4 separate regions of the Mus musculus genome follow, and regions 2, 3 and 4 are each reported to be linked to region 1. Evidence: microRNA targets listed by miRTarBase, many of them from high-throughput screens and not tested one by one. Region 1 holds a microRNA gene; each other region holds the end of a gene's coding sequence.
Evidence for each region. The annotated mature microRNA mmu-miR-1187 reads UAUGUGUGUGUGUAUGUGUGUAA and lies in region 1 at 1,227-1,249, shown strand. An mRNA with a match to its seed (bases 2 to 7 or 8) in the 3' UTR can be bound and repressed. Matches are read on the target gene's strand: a 7mer-m8 pairs with bases 2 to 8, a 7mer-A1 pairs with bases 2 to 7 and ends in A, and an 8mer does both.

Region 1 (3,184 bases):
GAGATTGGGTTACTTCACTCAGGATGATATCCTCCAGATATATACATTAGCCTAAGAATTTCATAAATTCTTTGTTTTTAATTGCTGAGTAGTACTCTATTGTGTAAATGTACCACATTTTCTGTATCCATTCCTTTGTTGAGGGATATCTGGGTTCTTTCCAGCTTCTGGCTATTATAAATAAGGCTGCTATGAACATAGTGTACCATGTGTCCTTATTACAAGTTGGAACATCTTCTGGGTATATGCCCAGGAAAGGTATTGCTGGATCTTCTGGTAGTACTATGTCCAATTTTCTGAGGAACCACCAGACTGATTTCCAGAGTGGTTGTACCAGCTTGCAATCACACAAACAATGGAGGAGTGTTCCTCTTTCTCAACATTCTCACCATCTGCTGTCACCTGAATTTTTGATCTTAGCCATTCTGACTGATATGAGGTAACATCTCAGGGATGTTTTGATTTGCATTCCCCTGATGTTTAAGAATGCTGAACATTTTTTCAGGTGCTTCTCAGCCATTTGGTATTCCTTAGTTGAGAATTCTTTGGTTTAGCTCTGTACCCCATTTTTAATAGGGTTATTTGATATTCTGGAGCCCTTTTTCTTCAGTTCTTTATATATATTGGATATTAGCCCCCTATCTGACTTAGGATTGGTAAAGATCCTTTCGCAATCTGTTGGTGGCCTTTTTGTCTTATTGGCAGTGTCTTTTGCCTTACAGAAGCTTTACAATTTTATGAGGTCCCATTTGTTGATTCTCGATCTTACAGCACAAGCCATTGCTGTTCTGTTCAGGAACTTTCCCCCTGTGCCCATATCTTTGAAGTTTATCCCCACTTTCTCCTCTATGTGTTTCAGTGTTAGGTGGAGTTCCTTGATCCACTTACACTTGAGGTTTGTACAAGGAGATAAGAATGGATCAATTCGCATTCTTTTACATGCTACCTGCCAGTTATGCCAGCACCATTTGTTGAAAATGCTGTCTTTTTTCCACTGGATGGTTTTAGTGCTCTTGTGAAGTTCAAGTGACCATAGGTGTGTGGGTCCATTTCTAGGTCTTCATTTCTCTCTCTGTCTCTCTCTGTCTCTCTCTGCCTCTTTCTTTCTTTCTTTCTTTCTTTTTTTTTCTTTTGTGTGTAGTATCTGTCATATAGTATTAAACCGAACTGTTTTCCTTATAGACACAATTTATTTTTACACACACACACACACACATATATATATATATGTGTGTGTGTATGTGTGTAAATAACAATGTTAAAATAGTAATGAGCCATGCTTAAGATCTGAGCATATGTAGCCTTCCACTGTGATACTTTTCATTTCCTGATATTTTCTGGTGATCTCACAAAGAAGAGTGTAAGATTATTTACCAAGAGAACATCCGAACTCCCTTAACTATTCTGGGCTACTTTTTACTTTTATTTTGCAAGCTCTAATTGTACTTAATTCCTGGCAATCACCCTATGATTTCACTTAAATCTCTATTAGCAAAACTTTGAGATATCCTTCAGTTGTCAGTATGGTAGCATAAGGCTCTTACAAAAAAATTAAGCTGATTCCCGAGAAGTCAACATTCAGACATTGGTGCAATCTTTTTCCCTAATAATTATTTTTTCTAATCAAGCCTGTGTTTAAATTTATGTTACAGCATTTCCTCAACACAGATCAACACTTCTTGATAATGGTTTATTTTAAAGTTAATTTTTATGACCAAAATACTGGCTTCACTTTAGTTGAGGTACAAAAACATTAAGTTCACATTTTAGCATTTTTTTCTCAGATACTATAAAAGATTGATAAGGAATTAAAATATTTTCATCTCCCCATCAATACAAATGCTAAATTCACCACTGAGTTAAAACTTTATTTGCATAAGATCCCTGCTTAATATTAGACCTTAAATGATTAGGCTGTTGACCCCTTCCAGCTTTCCAACTTATTTTTTTCACTTCTTTTTTTTTAAGATTAATTTGTATATTTTATCTATGTGTGTATACTTCTGCTCTCTTCAGACACACCAGAAGAGATTCCATTACAGATGGTTTTGAGCCATCATGTGGTTGCTGGGAATTGAACTCAGGACCTCTAGAAAAGCAGTCAGTGTTCTTAACCAAGCATCCATCTCTCCTGCCCCCCTCCTTTTTGTTTTACTTCTATTCTTTTAAATATATCAATCATGAAAGACTGAAATGATACCTCTGCCAATGGGGAAGCAACACAGCCATCATCTCTGTTAGAATAAAAATCAAGAGGAGTATGAGCCTGACTATGAACCTGGCTTTTGTTCCAGGACAAAGCATGTTGCATAAGCAATTGTCTTGCTTTCTTTCAAGATTATTATTTGATTCTTACAGAGGTCTCTGAGAACTCAGACTGTACAGGAGTTAGGATAGTGCTGACTCCAACCTAAGAACCTTAACAGTGTTTATTCATAGCAGGGCTTTCAAAATCAGAGTCAACTCTCAAATATTCCTTCACTGAGCAATTAAACTTTAACATTTTCAGTCCTCGTGATGTTGACGATTTTCATCAGTGAATTCTGTCCTTAAAAATTTTGTTTTGCTCATTCATCACACATTTGTTGAAGTTTTCCATATGTCTATGTTAATGAAAAATTTATTCTAGCTAGCCCATATAAATGACACAGAAACGTGGTATTTTATTTATGCACTTCTCCTGGCCACTTGCTCATGGTCCAGCTCCATGGATCACAGCCTTCCCTCTCCATCTTCCTCTCTTTCTCACCCATAGTCTCTCTAGTGACCCCTCACTTAATTTCCACTCAAGCCATGCCTTCCTCTCTCTTCTGCCCATTCACAGCCTCTAACTTTTAATTAAACAATAGCTTTAAATTGAGGAGCAACATTTACACAACACAGGACCAGTGCACCCAAGAATTTATCTGTCTGGTTAGTGAACAGATCTTCATAATTTGGTGTTTGTATTCATAGCAATATACCAAACCCAACATGTGCTATATGGTAACTATTTACTATATGGTAAATATCCTGATATGTTTATATGAATTTATTTTAGGAAGTTTCTACTGTGGTAGATTTCCACATTACATCCTCAAATGGTCTTTAGTTTTATTTTTCCCTCCTGATATTTCCTCCTTTATCAGACCTTCCCATCCCTACATCCATTAGTTCTTCCCTGTGCTATTACTTTCTGTTAAGG
Region 2 (3,184 bases), not on the chromosome of region 1:
ACAAAGGAGTCCACATGGTTCCAGCTGCATATGTAGCAGAGGTTGGCCTTGTCATGAATCAATGGGAGGAGAGGTCCTTGGTCTTATGAAGGCTCAATAGATGCCCCAGTATAGGGGAAATGAGAGCAGGGAGGTGGAGTGGGTGGGTGGATGGAGGAACACCCTCATAGAAGCAGTGGGAGAGAGGATGTGATAGATTGTTTCTGGGAGAGAGGGAAACCAGGAAAGGGGATAACATTTGAAATGTAAATAAAGAAAATATCCAATAAAAAATAATTTAAAAAACCTACTAGAAAACTTGGAAGAAATGCCTTTTTAATTGGTATAAACATTATGTTATTACATTTAGAAAGCAATAATTCCAGTGTTTCTAGAAAGACTTGGCATCTCTAAAAATAGTTATATGAACTTCATAAAAAGAGATATATTTTCTGCTTTCAGATCTTATGAGTTGTTATGATTAGTACAGCCAAGTTTGAACACAAGGAACTATAATAAAACATTCTTTTACTATTAAAATAATTCTCCCAAAGTCTATATTAAAGCTTTACAGATTTCAGGGAAGGTGTAGTCTGTGAAACTGTGCCAAAGGTACACACAGTTGTGAGTGATATGTTGCTGTGAAACCCTCTTGGATGAAAATAATAAACTTTGGATATGAGAACACTTAATTTATTGGATGTCAGTGCCTCCTGCCTGTTTGTCTTCCTAAGCTCTTGGATTGAGACCTAACTGTGATGATCCTACTCTGTTCTTTGAAGCTCAGCTCCTGTAAACAGAGAGAAGGGATTAGTGTAGTGAATATTTGGCTTTGAGTTAATTGAATGTCTAATTTCCAGTGGTGTTGAACTTGGCTGGATACCCGTGTGGTTATAATATGCAAAGCCTCTGAAAACACATGGGTTCTCAAATAATGGCATGCTTTTTCCCCTGATTTTTTCCCCAAATGGTATTTTTGTTCTTTCCCTTACTGTCTACTTCAAATAAATTTTATACAGTTTTATAATTCCTTCAACATATGGCTACTGCCTCCCAGCTCCTCGTGTGCATTGGCAAGCAGCCACGTGCACCACTGAAGAGTGATTTCCTGGATGAGTTTTCAAGAATCCTCCTTTATCCACATTTCTACCTGTGTTCAACTTCTTAACATAGAGTTAGATTAGACCGTCCTCTCTTTATGCACCTTCTGTCTCCCTCCTTCCCACCTCTCCCTGTTCTGTTAGTACAGTTTTCTTTGAGCCTAGGCAGAGCATTTTATGCTGCCAGTGTTATTAGAGGTTTTTGCGAACAATGAGAGTATAAAACTTGTTTGGGTAATCCCAAGTGCTTCTTGCTTTTGACATCTATGGAGTCCTTGCCTGTTATTTTTGAATTATGAGTAGGAGGCCCCCCCCCCCTTTTAAAAATTTTGTACTTCTGCCTGTTCAAAAATTCTTAGAGCAGAAAATGTGTTAGCTTTGTAAGCCTTGTTACTCCTATTGAGAGCTCGTATGTATTTCCGTTTTGGAAAAATACATTTTACTTAACATTAATTGAGATGTGGGCCAGGCACACACATTGACGCAAAGGAGGAAATTTGGAAGGAATAGATGCTTTGAGATAAAGACAATGTCAGAGACAACAAAAAGTGTTTTCTTGAGATATCAGTAGTCAAAGAGGCTGAGACCTCTAAGCTGAGGATACTCAACCTCTCAAATCTTACTTAGGTGCTTTCTCTATTTCCAACCACCTTCTCACAGGTAGCCAGGAGGCGGCTGCCTCAACCCAGGAGGTGATGCTGGGAAGTTGGGAGGAAGTTGGCTGAGAAGATCAGAAGCACCTGTTTGTGTTTTTTCCCCTTTCTGTTAAAAGCCTCTTGTGGTCCTCTTTGTGTCCAGGCATTGTAGCACATGTGCTATTTCTGATCCATAGAGCTTTAATCTACTGTAGTCCAGAGTGTAAGTAAGATAGAAAAATTTTTACAAGCATATCTTGCAATAGAGAAAAATCTGTTAGGAGCAAAATATACTTGTGTGATGACTTTATATGCACGTATGAAAATACATGTGTATGTGTATACATAAATGTATTTATGTGTATTGTGTATACACATAAGTACACTGTATATTATGCTATTTAAATGGAACCTGGATATCCATTATAGATCTTATTGGGTTATTTGTGGAAATAAATGTAATATTTCAGTGTATTTATTTGTTATAGTGGGAGTCCTTAAATACAAAATCTTACTGCTAACAAACTGGATTAAGGCACCAATGTAATGGGAAAGTAATGTATATTTGCTATTGATGTGTTTGGCTGCCAAATCACAGAGAATTTCCATATTAGTTATAAATTGCAAACAGCAGCAAAGACTGGAAGTGTTCTGTACAACTTTAAAAATGTCTTGACTCTAACTCTTCCTAGTCCTAGAAGTTTCTTTCACAGACTTTCTTCTGTGAGGAAGATGCAGTCAGGTGAGCAGCCAGAAGAATCAACAAGGCTTAGTCTACTCCATTCAGACAAGCATCGGGCTCTCTGGGGAGTCCAGTGGAAGGGCCTACGGGGATGTCTGTGACTTCTGGTGGGGGCTGCTCCCTAGACTCACAGCCGGGCACCACAGCAGAATCTCCCTCACTCTCTGGAGATGGTGAAATATCATATTTTGCCTCTACTACAGATAGGGAGCCCTGGGCTGGGGACAGTGGGGCCTGACCAGAAGTGTTTGCCTCTGGTTTATGGGGCTTCGGACCCGGGGTATTTTCTGCAGGGAGACCCTGACTTTGTAGCTCTGCCTCTGCAGGGGTACAGGAGGCTGTAGGGGCAGGTGTGGCCTCACAGACGCCCTCCGCCACAGCCTGAGCACCTACAGGGGGCCGAGGACTCCCTGAATCAGCGGGAAGGCTGGGATGGTTTAAACGGGCTGTTTCGGGGTGCTGGTGGGTGACATCACTTCCACTTTGAGGACCATTCACTGCCAGCTGTCTTTCCGTTGGTTGGTCTGGGGTGAACTCTGGATGATGAAGGATGGTAAAAGCTGTGGCCAGGTTTTCCACAGCTTTTTGAAAACTGTTGGCTTCCTCTGCGTCCACCTCTTCATTTTCAGAGACGCTTGGCTCTGGCTCTTCCTCAGAGGTGCGCTGAACCTGGTCTTCCTTTTCGGACATTTTTGCTTCTCTGATTTTCTTGTAGAGTTCCTTTCTCT
Region 3 (3,184 bases), not on the chromosome of region 1:
GATCCCAAACATCTAGTGTTCATTAAAAACACCTATTGAAAATATTTCATTGCACATTCTAGATATACAGTCTATTTCTGAACACATATGCACAGTTCTTGGTACCAAGGATAGCAGCTTTTGGTGTTTTTAAATCTTACCCAAACTATGTCAACACCCACTGAGTGTTACTCACTAAAATGCCACTGTTTTGTCACATATTGTTAAGTGCTTGATATTGTGAAGTAATTTGGTAGAAAAAAAAGTATGGCTAAGAAGAAAGGGGCTTCGATATGCCTGCTAATAAAATGAACACTTGTCTCAATGGACAGCATGTCTATGAACTGAATCCTCACATACTTTTATTTTTACTCACATGACCACATGCCACTCTACAGAGACAAATACTTTGTGTGAGCTGATGGAGATCTTTATGAAGGCCTGAGATCTACAGATAGAAACTATTATAAGCAGAGTGCAAGTAGAAAGAGAAGGCCCCAGGTCTCATGCACTTAAAAAATAATTACCATTTATTAGTTCTGACGTACAGATTTTCACCCTAACATGATTGTAGCAAAATGACTGTAGAACATTGAAACCAGTGTGGCTGGCTATAGGCATAGGCAAGATAGGAACCAATATTTAAGAGTTGTGGGGTCCCAGTTCTGGCTTTGACTTCTGGCATCTAAATTAATTGGACAATAGGGTCAGGACTATACAATAATTAGAAATATTGAGTAAGTCTGAGTTGAAATAAATACTGTCCTACTTTTGTCTATGTGGCCAAAAGTACCAGAGTTCTTAAAGCACGTAAGGTCCCACATGTAAGGCTGATTCCATGTGTGGCTACAATGGAGAATTCTAGGCTGTATTCCTGTGAATGCTCCCACCCAATCCCAGGCCTAAATCTCTTTGGAGGGCCTTAACTAATTAACTGTCCCTCTTTACATTGGTTCATACATGTTTTAAAGCACAGATTAAAATCCATGCAGATCAACCAATTTAAAAAAAAAAAGAAACAGATGACACACTCAGAATATAGTATATACAATTGGCAGTCATGGTATTCAAAAATTGTCAAACCATTTTTGGTATGAACATTGTACCTTTGGGATATATTTTTAAATAATAGTTGCTGTTAAAGGCTAATCCCAGAATGGCTTGAGGATTTTTGAAGGCCCTCTCTATGGTCTTAACCTTTACTTTCATGTAAGTCCAACCAGGACATGGCACTGACATAGTTTATATTCAGAACGAAAGCATGAAGAAACCTTATACCAAACATGTAGCCAGTTCAGTAATTCTTTTTAACAAATAGTCAGCCAGTGACTACTTTTATTGGGAGGGAGTTCACAATTAAGGCAATCTATTCCACATTTGAACAAATTTAATTACGAGAAATTCATCCTAACACAAAGTTTAAAAAAAAAAAAACCTGCTCTTTTGCCAGTTTTAATGTCCTAGTTTGGCCAGCTGAACATCTGGTGGGACATTCTAAGAATCAGATCCTTCTGAGATCTGAGATCTGAGATCTAACAAACAACTGAGTTAAGGAACCTGTGAGAAAAGCCCATTACTCTCCAATCCTTTCTGAGGCCTTCTGCATGAGCCAGCATGGTGAATTATAGGACTGTGTAAAATGTAGGCAGAGAGCACTGCACCCGAAGCCACATACTAAGCAGCATCACTAAATTGATAAGTTGTCAAGGAAGCAACATCTCTATGCAGCAGCAGTAGACTTAATGAAGGAAAAGCAGGCCAACCATGTATTTGCAAATGTGGTTGGCATATTTAAGCGTAATCCATTCACTAGTGTCCTGTGACTCACATGGATTAGAACCAACCTCCAGTGTCATTAGAGTAATTCTTATAGAAATGATTTTTCTTAAGTTCATAAGAGAGTAAACCATACGTAAGGATTTGAACATGTCAGTGTGTTTTTATACATCTATATTCTTAATCACCACCACCTTTTTCTAATACATGTTTAGAAATTCTTGCTTCCATTATTTTCTGTAACACAGCTCAGAATCCTAATTTTCCCTTTGGTAGAAATGACATAAACTACTTGGCAAGAGTTGGTGGCCTTTGCTAGCTGGTTAATGGAACACTTTAAGCTCTTTCACTCCTTCATGCGGCTGGGTTCTAGGTTTAAACTGTGATTAAAAATACTTAAATCTCTCAGGACTAAAACTTTCTGATATGTCCTGAGCCACACAAGAAGGGAAAATAGCAGGAATTACGCAAAATACACTTGGCTCAATAAAGCTTTTTAAAAAACCGCTTTACAACTTCAATTTGAAAGGTTCTGTTTCAAAAACAGAACATTATCTTTTACTTTCATGTGTGTGTGTGTGTGTGTGTGTGTGTGTGTGTGTATGTGTGTGTGTATGCAATCACGTGCGTGCACGTACTTTCATGTATGTGTCTGTGTGTACCTGTGTGTATGCAATTGCCTGTGTGAGCATGCTTTCATGTACGTGTGTGTGTGTGTGTGCATGTGTGTGTGTGTGTATGTGTGTGTGTGTTCATACTACCAAAGAGCACAGTCGTTTTTACACAACAGACTGACCAACTTATTGCACACTTGTCAAGAGTCCCTACCTCTAACAACAAGAAGAACTTGCTTTGGAGCCACTGTTCAAATCAATGGTGTGACCTAACATACAATGTTCCAGCTGTTCCTCTACAGCTAACACCTGCCTAACAGCTTCTTCAAAGGCCACTGTCACATTAGTATCATCTTTGGCACTTGTTTCTAGATAAGGGTAATTTCCATTCTCCATGCACCAGGCTTGTGCCTCCTCAGTCGTTACTTGCCTATCCTCTTTGTCTACCTTGTTACCCAGAACCACAAAGGGGAAATGATCTGGGTCCTTTACATCTGCATAGTAGATGAACTCTTTTTGCCAGTTACCAAGGTTCTCAAAGCTCTGCCGGTCATCCACACTGAAGGTTAGCAGGCAGCAGTCGGCTCCCCTGTAGAATGGTGTTCTAAGGCTCTTGAAACGTTCCTGCCCCGCAGTGTCCCAGATCTGGAGGGTCACAAAGCGTCCATCTACCTCCAGATCTCGATTTAAGAACTCTACCCCTATCGTGTGAAAAGCCTGGGAGTCGAACTTGTTGGTTACATAACGGTTCATAAGTGAGCTTTTCCCAACTCCTCCATCACCCAAGAGGATGACCTTTAAGAGAAGGGATTTCC
Region 4 (3,184 bases), not on the chromosome of region 1:
AGAGGCTAAGTTCCTTATTACAGAGAAGCATCGATTTTGTGACAATGTCTACAGTTTTCCACCAAATACTAACACATTAATATATATATATATATATATATATATATATATATCAGTACTCCTTAAAGACCAAATGCCCAGTTTTTAAACATTCACAGTAAAAAGTAAAATATTCAGGCTCAGACATCAATTAGTTTTAACCTAAGCAACCTAGCATTCCCTTGGAAATATTCAATCCCTCCAAATGACAACTTCCAAATAAAACACATTTCCTTCTTCCCTTTAGTCACGTTCCTTACGTATATATTTTTCTTAAAGTGCAAGAAAGTAAAGCTATAACTTGATTAGAACAAGGAACAGAGTGCTTATATAGACTGTTATGTGAAAATAATAAAAGATGTCTGCTCAGGGTCCCTCGCTCCAAGACCCATCCTTTCAGGAGTTGAGCTGTCCCAGGCACTCTGTAAACATTTATTTTCTTCTAGAGAGAAATCTCAGAAGTGTGGCCAGAGCTGTCTCCTTTTATCCCCCCAACCCCCTTCTCATCAGCTTTGGCTCTCGAGCCATGGAGACCCGGCTCCTATTCTGATTTCTTTCAGATACCTTCCCAAAGGCTACCAGCTTCCCTGGCAAACTTTGAGAGAGATGTCTCAGGGAACTGAGGTAGCCCCACTCACCCAAGCTCCCGAGGATCAAGCAGGTTAGAATCGTCATGTAAAACTCAGCCTCCATTTTCCACTTAACAACGGTTCATGCTTCGCTTTGGGGAAAAAAAAAATTTCTCCCAGATAAGAGAGGCAAAGAGTAGGAAGGAAACGTGCTTCACGGAGAGGGGGAAAGTCAGTGACACACTTCCTCCAATTGAATTGTTTGGGGGGGAAGTTTTACACCAGTGTCCTTTTGTCTGTTTCCTTAGAAAGGAGGGATAATGTCCATCTCTTTTTAAAATGTAGAGCCAGCCTCCGGGAGCCAGAACAAACCCCAGAAAGTCACCCCTGCCACCCCTCTGGCACATGCTTATGTCTTAACCTCAAGATGGAGAAAGGGAATCGTAATGGTAGATAATTGAGTCTTCCTGCATCACGGCTTCTTTTCAGGTGATACGATTCTGCCCCATCTACGTAAGCCATGTAATTTATGGGGTCTGTGACAAGTGATATAAAGACATAAACATGTACTGTTTGTATAATGAGATGCTGGCGTCCATAAGGAAAACCACATAATGATGGAGCTCTGAGATCATTATCTCTCAAGTGATTACAAGATTGCAATTGGAGAGAGTCATCTCCCGCCCTGAGGAAAAGACTAAAATTAAATCCGTCCTATTACCTCCTTCAGTTTACCGGGAGTAAGTAAAGAAGAGGCTTCACTCAGTATTTACTGTTAAGAGTCATTTATTGGGAGTACGAAAGAAAGTCAGCTTTGCTGCATTGAAAATTCATATCTGAGCAGAACATCTCCTGTTTGCTGAGTGTGATTATTTTGCCTTCATTTGTCTCTTGAGGAAGGAGGTCTTTTAGAAATGTGAGGTCGTGCATGACAGTGTCCTCGGAAAAACTTTTGGGGATGAAACAGGTTGGAGCATTCCCCAAAGGCACCTGCTTCTTATTGGGAGAGAGATACCAGGTAGACACCATATTTAAAAATCCCTTCTTAGTAAAAGAGAGATGAGTATTTAAAATTATTGATACTTTATAGTTGCTATAAATTTGTTTATCCCCTTTTAAAGTAAAACAAGTCACAATGTAGAAATATAGTAGTTAGTATTGTGGAACAGGAGCCACTTGTATGCCTAATAATAGAATATATATGTGTACATATACATATAATATACATATACATATACATATATATCCAACGACAGTCATTGTGCTCTGTAATTGATCCATAGGAGATACTATAAATGCACACTTAATAGATATAATCAAGACACATGTCCATATAAAATAGTCACTGCATTTGATTTTTTTTTTTTTTCCAAAAACAAAAATGTCTTGGTTAAAAATCCATTGTCGATCACTCGAAACTTGAGCAGCAAGATTCTGGTAACTGAGATAGTTAATAGCACTTACAACAGGGACAGTTGGACAGCTGACAGTCCAGTCACAAGACAGGCTTTATGAACATTAAAGCATCTAAACACAGGATAATGTCAGCAGCTCCTCCAGTCTCTGAATATCACACACATCGATTCTGTGCGGCGGAGAGGCGACACAGACAGAACAAAACCCTCCTCAGGCTGCGAGAGGACTGTCATGCCTCCATCAGCACAGGACCTTCAGAATAACTGGGGGGATGCCTACGAACGCAGTCCTATACACAAAGGCTGGCAATCTTTCATGTTGCCAGATCTTCCACAATCAGTGCCTTAGGCTGGCTTTAGAGCCTCCTCGTCCATTGCAGGGAGCCCCTCTTGGAGCTCTTGGTAGGTAATTTGATGAATCACCCGGTGAGAGATTGACACTCTGGTAAATCTTCGGAGTCACTCGACAGTTTCTGGTGAAAGTCTGCTCTCGAACAGGCACAGAGCATGGTGCACAAATTCATACTGCTCGCTGGTTTGGACCATACCACCCCTGCATGGAAGAGATTATAAAATCACTCAGTTTTGCTGACACCTTATAATACTGTAACCGAAACATGACGCTAGAATGAGTCTTATGCCAAACAGGCAGAATAGCTGATCTAGTGAATTTTTTTTCTACCCTTTTTACCATCCTGGCTGGCGAAGTTAATATGTTAGTGCAGTCCCATGCTGTGCACCAATGCTGTATCATGGTGCGTTATGCACAGGTTAGCGATAACGATGATGCTGGTGTGAACGAGCCTACCTGGTGGCAGCTGTAATTACTGTACATTTCCTTGGAATGGATCATGCTAACTTTGTTGATAGCATTGGTATTTACTATGCTTCTTAGTGTGACTTAGCATGTACTCTGATTTCAGTGTTAAGGGTTGACTGGACAACTGTATGCCATGTAAGGCTAGCAGCCACTGCGTGCATCTCATAGCTATTGCACCTCTTGACAGTGCCATCTTCTCCTGTGCTTCCATTGGTTCCTGGTGGCTTTGAGAGAAGCAGGAAATGCTGTACATATAGCACGTCATCTAGTTGTGTGGTAGGTCATGCTATCCGGGTTTTTACATGTAGACTATATAATGTTCACATAACAATGAAGCTGTC

Region 2: the mRNA of Txlnb is a reported target of mmu-miR-1187. Seed matches in the 3' UTR shown: 7mer-A1 at 2,071-2,077 and 7mer-A1 at 2,049-2,055.
Region 3: the mRNA of Rab9b is a reported target of mmu-miR-1187. Seed matches in the 3' UTR shown: 8mer at 2,493-2,500, 7mer-m8 at 2,478-2,484, 7mer-A1 at 2,401-2,407, 8mer at 2,357-2,364, 7mer-m8 at 2,322-2,328 and 7mer-m8 at 818-824.
Region 4: the mRNA of Ptprr is a reported target of mmu-miR-1187. Seed matches in the 3' UTR shown: 7mer-A1 at 1,809-1,815.

The regions. Positions count from the first base shown.
Region 1 is chr5:82,797,029-82,800,212 of GRCm38, reverse strand. It overlaps Mir1187 (microRNA 1187), which reads left to right and starts at 1,148; the gene lies at 1,148-1,269.
Region 2 is chr10:17,842,780-17,845,963 of GRCm38, reverse strand. It overlaps Txlnb (taxilin beta), which reads right to left. Exons shown (of 10, transcript NM_138628.3): 10 at 301-3,184. The coding sequence ends at 2,484. Among named protein-coding and RNA genes, the nearest start is that of Gm20655, 8.8 kb to the right of the region's middle.
Region 3 is chrX:136,858,459-136,861,642 of GRCm38, forward strand. Rab9b (RAB9B, member RAS oncogene family) reads right to left here. Exons shown (of 3, transcript NM_176971.3): 3 at 1-3,184. The coding sequence ends at 2,586. Among named protein-coding and RNA genes, the nearest start is that of Rab9b, 8.5 kb to the right of the region's middle.
Region 4 is chr10:116,273,125-116,276,308 of GRCm38, reverse strand. It overlaps Ptprr (protein tyrosine phosphatase, receptor type, R), which reads right to left. Exons shown (of 14, transcript NM_011217.2): 14 at 1,380-2,576. The coding sequence ends at 2,483. It also overlaps a transcript of Ptprb not described here. Among named protein-coding and RNA genes, the nearest start is that of Ptprb, 27 kb to the left of the region's middle.